Linked DNA regions of Drosophila melanogaster. The protein of the gene in region 1 interacts with the protein of each later gene in a pairwise test. Each region holds a gene or a part of one and is shown in the gene's direction. Other genes may lie near its edges. The genes, in order: Sdhaf3 and ND-ACP.

Region 1 (3,351 bases):
TCAATTGAGCAGTAGAAAAACTCAAAAGAAAATTTGATTAATTTCCAGTTTAAGTATAAACCCATTGAAGATATGGAAATACAATATATAATAGTATAGAAATTCATTCTGATCATATAGTAGCTTATGGATTTCAAAGTGAAAATCATATTGAACTTATCTGTTATTATAAATATTATTTCCATTCAAATATTGGATGAACTACTCTTCGATAGACGACACAATCTTAAGTTCTTCCTTCTGTTAACCACATAAATAAAATTAATTTAAAGTTTCGTGTCACGATTACGGCTTATCGATATCTGGCGCCAGTGTCACTAGTATTTGTACCATCACTAACCTTGGTCATAAAAATAAAAGCTAGCGTTCCATTTATTTTCCATCGCCCGAGCGCTGTTCCCTATCCATTAACACGTCTCAATCCTGGAGTGCACAACATCCGGTGAGAGGACTACCAAAAAGAGATAGTCCGCCGCTGGTTGTAGGTGAATAAACAGTGAAGAAGCGAAGAGTCCAAAGGATACAATCGCAACCCACTTGCCAAGCTGCACACTTTGAGTCCAACGTTGGAGGAGGAGCCGCCATGAATGCCCTGCGGCAGTTCTACCTGGAGATCCCGGTGGTCACACGAGCCTACACCACGGTCTGCGTGCTGACCACCTTGGCGGTGGTAAGTGTATCCCGTAGTGCGTTCTAAATCGCGGATGACGTGTACGTGTATTATCTTCGATTATATTTTTTGCCAACTTTTAAGCACCTGGACCTGGTGTCGCCGCTGCAGCTCTACTTCAATCCCACGCTGATTGTGCGCAAGTTCCAGATCTGGCGCTTGGCCACCACATTCCTGTACTTTGGCACAATAGGCATCAGTTTCTTTTTCAATATGGTGTTTACATATCGATATTGTCGAATGTTGGAGGACGGATCTTTCCGCGGACGCAGCTCCGACTTTGTCATGATGTTCATCTTTGGCGGCGTGCTAATGACCTTCTTCGGAATCTTCGTCAACCTGTTGTTCCTGGGCCAGGCCTTCACATTAATGCTGGTCTATGTGTGGTCACGACGCAATCCACTGGTGCCAATGAATTTCTTCGGGGTGCTTAACTTCCAGGCGCCGTACCTTCCGTGGGTGCTCCTCTGCTGCTCCATGATTCTGGGAAACACCGTGTGGGTGGATGTCATCGGCATGGGTGTTGGCCACATCTACTACGTGCTGGAGGACGTCTATCCTACACTGTCCAACGGCTACAGACTGATCAAAACCCCCTACTTTTTGTGAGTTTACTTTGAATTGGGATATAACTTTTGCAATAACGACTTGTTGTCCTTAGGAAACGTCTCTTCAATGAGCACATCGAACGCAACTTCCAGGCGGCTGCTGAGGATCGACCTGGCGGATTTCCTTGGGGCGGAGAGGGTCAGCCCCTGCTACCGGAAGAGATTGCGGCTGATGGACAGGATGAGGAGCCAGCGAATCGAGCGGCGCCTGTTGCTGCCGCGCCGCAATAGCAAAACTAGAAAACTTGATTGTTAAAACGTTCTTCTGTTCAAAACGACGACGATGACAACAATGTTGTGTACCCTCCGCCACCTTCTGTTTGGTGCTTGGTGTAATTAGGCGTATAGTAGTGAGAGAAAGGCGTGCAATAGTTAGCCAAAGTTGGTGCAGAGCGTGTGTGTATGTCATTTATTGGTTTGTTTTCTGAAACAGAGCTCATTTTCCATACGAGATGTTCTTTTATTTATAATTTACCCCCAAGGGATGAATCCACGACAGATTGAACCTACACTGCACATGTGATGATTATATATATACAAACCATGCCACAAATAAATCATTATATAAAAAGACCTGCAGTTTTAAAATGCTTGAAATCGCTTGGGGATTGATAAAAAAAAACCATTTGAAAAAAACATTTTCTTTTTACATTATTTGGTTTGCGGAAGTGTGGTTCAATTCGAAGTGCCTAACTTAAATATAATATGAAAATAGCATTGAACTTTTAAAGGTGACAATTCAAATGCGCGCCAAACTTTTAATACGTTGCCACCTGCCAACTCAATTTGACGTTAGCCAACACTGGCTGCGACAAAACAGTTGTTATTCGCTCGTATTTAGTTTTTAGCCGGCTGCTAAATAGTATAGTATTAGTATGTTATATGATATGAACTCAGGATGTCCAGAATTTTGATGAGCCAACTGACCCACCCTCAGAGGGTCCGACTGCTGTACAAAACGATCTTGCGACTGCACAGAGGTAAGATGAAAAATTCCCTATTACTATAAATTGCATGCATTTCAACTAAACTTCTGTACTCCGTAGGACTTCCAGCGGAACTTCGTGCTCTGGGCGATAACTATGTGCGGGACGAGTTCCGGCGACACCTCAAGTGCAATCCCATGGAGGCACAGCTCTTTATGACAGAGTGGGCCGTAAGTTTTACGTAATAAACAAAAAGGCGCCATACTAAGCAAATCTTCCATTGCAGCGATATGCGTCCACAATCACCCAACAACTAGGGATTCGGGGCAAGCCCAAGGGAGAGCTGGGCGAAGAGATTGACCCCAAGACTGTAGAAATGTTGAAAGACGACCAAGTAGTCCAACTATACGAGCTGATGCTGGCGGCCAAGGGAGTAGAAGATGCGCAAGGCAAATAAATCAGTGTATTATTTTATTATGAGTGTTTCTCCAAAATCTTGTACTCGAATTTAATGCCATTCTCCTCCTGCACACCCAGTGGCATGTCGGAATCGGGCGCGACCTCTCGAAAGCTGTCAGGGATCGCGGGGAAAAAGGTGTCGCAATCGAACTTCTGCATTATTTTGGTAATGTACAGCCGGTGACACCTTGGCGAGGCCATGGCCTCCTCGTAGACTCCACTACCGCCCACAATCCAAATGTTCTCCACTTCGTTCTGCTCCTCAAGGATCTTCATGGCCGTCTCGAGATTGGGGCACAATAGTACTCCCTTGGGCAGATCACTTTCCTGAAGTGTGGTGCTCAGCACTATGTTCAGCCGATCGGGAAGAGGCCTCTTGCTTTCCGGCACTCCGAAGTAGGTTTTCCTGCCCATTACCACGGCATTTTGCTTGGTGGGATCACTTGTTCGCTTGGTGGTGCGGCTGAAGTACTTCAGCTCAGATCTGATGGTACAAAAGCTTTAGCTGCGGTTCAATCCTTGTTACCAACTTACTTAATGCGCCATGGTAGATCGCCTCTGATGCCGATTCCGAAATTCTCGCAAACTGCCACGATTAAATTGAATCGAAGCATCCTTAATCCTTACTGAGAAAGCATAAGCTTGAAAATTATCTTCCAAGCTATAAAATTCAAACAGCTGATCAAGG
Region 2 (4,285 bases), on another chromosome or scaffold:
GCTATCACCCAGTTCCGGGCATCTCTTAACAACCTCATGGACATTCTGATGTGCAAGGAGCCGAGCTACATTCGCTGCATCAAGCCAAACGACCTGCAGACTGCCAACGTCTTCAACGATGAGTTGGTACTGCACCAGGTCAAGTACCTTGGCCTGATGGAGAATCTGCGTGTGAGGCGAGCTGGTTTCGCCTACCGACGAACGTATGAGCTCTTCCTGGAGCGCTACAAGTCCCTGAGCAAGTCCACCTGGCCCAATTACAAGGGTCCCGGTGGCCCGAAAGCGGGTGTCCAGCAGCTGGTGAAAGATTTGGGCTGGGACGAGGAAAAGTACAGGGTGGGCGAGACGAAACTATTCATCCGCTGGCCGAGAACCTTGTTCGATACGGAGGATGCCTACCAGGAGAAGAAACATGAGATAGCGGCCATCATCCAGGCCCACTGGAAGGGATTGATGCAAAGGAGGAAGTATCTGAAACTGCGTGCTCAGGTGATCATAATGCAGAGCTATTGTCGCCGAAAGTTGGCACAGCAGGCGGCCAAGAAGCGCAGGGAGGCCGCCGATAAGATTCGTGCCTTTATCAAGGGCTTCATCACCCGGAACGATGCCCCGAATGGCTTCAATGAAGAGTTTATTGCCAACGCCAAGCGTATGTGGCTGCTTCGACTGGCGAAGGAGCTGCCCACCAAGGTACTGGATAAGAGCTGGCCCCATGCCCCTGGGCACTGCGAGGAGGCCTCCGGCATCCTTCACCGCCTGCACCGTCTCCACTTGGCCAGGATCTACCGCCTTAAACTGACGCCGCAGCAGAAGAGGCAATTCGAGCTGAAGGTCCTGGCGGAGAAGGTCTTTAAGGGCAAGAAGAACAACTACGCGAGCAGTGTGTCCACTTGGTTCCAGGAGGACCGCATCCCCAAGGAGCACATCCAGCGAGTCAACGACTTCGTGGCCAGCACCTTCGGCAGCGAGCAGCTTAAGTACCAGTCCTTCTGCACCAAGTTCGATCGGCACGGCTACAAGTCCCGCGACCGCTTTATCCTGCTGAGCAACAAGGCTATATATGTCCTCGACGGCAAGACCTACAAGCAGAAGCACCGCCTGCCGCTAGACAAGATCGACTTCACGCTGACGAACCACAACGACGACCTGATGGTCATCCGCATACCGCTCGACCTGAAAAAGGACAAGGGCGACTTGATTCTGATCATTCCGCGCATAATCGAGTTCAGCACGTATATCATTGACACCGTGGGAACTGCCTCCATCGTCTCCATTGTGGACAGAAATTCGTAAGTTGCACATCGGTTATCCCAGTGGTTTTCTCTTGACTAAGTGTTGCATTCGTTTCCAGGTTGGAGCACAACGTAGTCAAGGGCAAGGGCGGCGTCATCGACATCCAAACCGGCGCCGAGCCCGGAGTGGTTCGTGATAAGGGCCATCTAGTTATCGTAAGTAGTGCGAGCTCCAGCTCCTCATGAGGAAACGCCCATTATCGTGCTGACCTCACACACCAAATATTTCTTTTCAGATTGGAACGCAATAAGGAATTTACTATGACTTTCTTCAGAAAAGTGGCTTTAAATCAAACGACCTTGTTTTGTTATATTCGTGTAATTTATAGTGTAACTATGTATTTTTGTTACTGCAGCACCTGAGAGTTGTGTATTCGGATTTTATATGACTAATGTTCCAACTAAATGTATATTGTTTAAAAATACATATAAATATATTACAATTTGTATATGAATTGGGTTCTTATCACTAACTTGTGGTTTTTCAAAGAGGAAACGTGGCAATTTTTCTAGTCTCTTATATCGTTTCTTTCAAAAAGAACCGCCCACTCGATTGGCAAAAGCAGCAGTCGATAACTTTGCTTTGAAACGTCAGTTCGGTGCTCCAGACTTTAAAAATCTCGTTAAAGTCGTGCCCAACTCACAAAAGAAGATTTCAGCTAACGTTACTACTGAAATTCATGTGAATTAATATACCACTAACAATTATTTAACTGTAAATTATAGTTGGGAAAGTTACTTACTCATTATTCAAGTATTAAGTATTTTTAGTATTTATTTGCGTAAGTTGAGAAACAGCTTAGTACATTGCGCATACGGTCACACTGCTACCTTGCTGTCTTTTTCTTGCTCCAGCACTTTTACATAATCTTGAAAACTCAGCGTAAATATCGCCCAAAATACGAGACCTGCACTCGTGCACCGTCTGCAGAGATGCGATACTAACCCGCTGCGTTTCCGTTGCAGGAGAACCGAGATGTCGTTCACACAGATCGCGCGCAGCTGCAGTCGACTGGCGGCCACTTTGGCCCCAAGGAGGGTCGCCTCCGGCATTCTCATCCAATCACAGGCCTCCAGGATGATGCACAGGATCGCCGTGCCATCGATGACCAGCCAGTTGAGCCAAGTAAGCGAACGTCCAAAGCGGTCCCTTCCGTTGCAGGAGCCCCAATCGCAGTTGAGGACCTAACCTCATCGCAAACGGCGGGGTTTCGTGATCTACGAGTTTCAAAACATTCAATTAAGTGCTTGCAATCATGAACGCAACAGAAGATCCTCGCCATGTGGCCGTCGAACCACCCAATTCGATTGCATCACATTATTTTGCATAAAACATGATTGTTTCCCTATCGCACACACACACACATACACCTGCAACACCGGTGCTCGCACTTGTGTGCGGTTGATTGTACTACAGTGAAAATCCTCTAGAAGTGACCTTAAAATGTAGCGGTTTTAAAACATGTGATTTCAGTTTGTTAAATATCTAAATATGTTTCCACGCCAATCCAAGCAATAGTTTTCGCGGTATTTAATCAGTTGATCATACACCATCGAACCACCCTCGTTTAAATTGCGTATATATTTACACTGCTCATTGAAGAATTAGCTAAGTTGTATGCACCATAAGTCGTAGATGAACTACCAATGCAATTATTCATATAGAGACGAAAATTCACTAGACATTAACATTCGCAGAAGTTCGGTGTGCGCAGCTACTCGGCCAAGAGCACCATCGAGGACATCAAGTTCCGCGTGCTAAAGGTTGTCTCCGCCTACGACAAAGTGACCGCCGAAAAGGTAAAGTACCCATTGCATGGCGCCACTAATCCGGTCTTTGTTTCCTTCCTTTTTTTCTCGGGCCGGCCAAAAACCAGGAGTGCCGTGGTCGCTGGCAAACGCAATTGGTGCGCAGATACTCGGCGAAACCGCCGCTCTCGCTGAAGCTGATCAATGAGCGCGTCTTGCTTGTGCTCAAGCTCTACGACAAGATCGATCCCAGCAAGGTAAACGCCACATATTGCCTTTGCCAGTGCAATGGTCGCCTCAGAAATCAGAACTGAACAAAGCTGATGAAACCTTTGAATACCCAATGCTAATGGCTCGCATTTACAGCTCAACGTTGAGTCGCACTTCATCAACGACTTGGGACTGGATTCCTTGGACCACGTGGAGGTCATCATGGCCATGGAGGACGAGTTCGGTTTCGAGATCCCCGACTCTGATGCCGAGAAGCTGCTTAAACCTGCCGACATTATTAAGTACGTCGCCGACAAGGAGGATGTGTACGAGTAAATTGTAATTGTAATGCAAGCCATTGAACGGATTACACTTAAATTTAAATAGAAAACAAGTCAAATACAATTTGATCAACTGAATAAACCAAACGTTAAATTAACTTGTAGTCAGCAATTGTACACGAGGGCTATAATTAACTGCGGAATAGCAGCTAATAAATTAACTATCCAAATAAATAAACGAGTCATTTAGTACTGGCGGTTAAATTTAAATTTCGATAGAAACGTTGGTCTTTCGATTGTTTTAGAAAGCCTTGTGTATTTTAGATACGCAGCGACGGTCACGTTAATCTGCTAGCATTACAAACAGAATATTCGAAATGTCAGACGCTGTGGACAAAATGTTGGCGGGAATGGGTAAATATATCTTTAAACCACCGACACGCGTTCTATTCCGTGCTTCCAATTTCAGCGGCCAATCGGCAGACCATGAACCGCCAGCTGGCTAAGATAGACGAGATAATGGAGCGGTCGAACAACACATTGCTCCACATCGAGTCCAACAGCAAGGCATTCAGTCAGAATGTGGCTTTGTCGGAGACCCAGAAGATGTACAACCTCAGGCCGGAGGCTGAGATGACCCTGTCCAAGATCCTGGAGAACTTCAAGCTGCTCATGTCTAGCAGTGACCAGCGGGAGGAGACATACAGCGCTCTGGAGGGCTGCCTGGCCTACAGGCATCGCGTGGAGCACCTT

Evidence for each region.
Region 2: the proteins of Sdhaf3 (region 1) and ND-ACP interact in a two-hybrid assay, tested with the Drosophila melanogaster proteins (2 studies listed by BioGRID).

Annotation. Positions count from the first base shown.
Region 1 is NT_033777.3:16,481,187-16,484,537, reverse strand, and holds Sdhaf3 (succinate dehydrogenase assembly factor 3), read left to right. Parts: upstream 1-2,085; 5' UTR 2,086-2,176; coding exon 2,177-2,258; intron 2,259-2,324; coding exon 2,325-2,434; intron 2,435-2,490; coding exon 2,491-2,661; 3' UTR 2,662-2,677; downstream 2,678-3,351. Other genes in the region: Der-2 (Derlin-2), read left to right, coding at 584-670, 755-1,275, 1,332-1,509; Dhfr (dihydrofolate reductase), read right to left, coding at 2,679-3,147, 3,198-3,277. UniProt on the Drosophila melanogaster protein: Plays an essential role in the assembly of succinate dehydrogenase (SDH), an enzyme complex (also referred to as respiratory complex II) that is a component of both the tricarboxylic acid (TCA) cycle and the mitochondrial electron transport chain, and which couples the oxidation of succinate to fumarate with the reduction of ubiquinone (coenzyme Q) to ubiquinol.
Region 2 is NT_037436.4:1,327,873-1,332,157, forward strand, and holds ND-ACP (NADH dehydrogenase (ubiquinone) acyl carrier protein), read left to right. Parts: upstream 1-2,076; 5' UTR 2,077-2,175; intron 2,176-2,258; 5' UTR 2,259-2,268; coding exon 2,269-2,418; intron 2,419-2,990; coding exon 2,991-3,077; coding exon of another isoform or gene 3,078-3,092; intron 3,093-3,169; coding exon 3,170-3,298; intron 3,299-3,407; coding exon 3,408-3,587; 3' UTR 3,588-3,671; downstream 3,672-4,285. Other genes in the region: Myo61F (myosin 61F), read left to right, coding at 1-1,289, 1,352-1,448, 1,529-1,543; msd1 (mitotic spindle density 1), read left to right, coding at 3,910-3,946, 4,002-4,285. UniProt on the Drosophila melanogaster protein: Carrier of the growing fatty acid chain in fatty acid biosynthesis.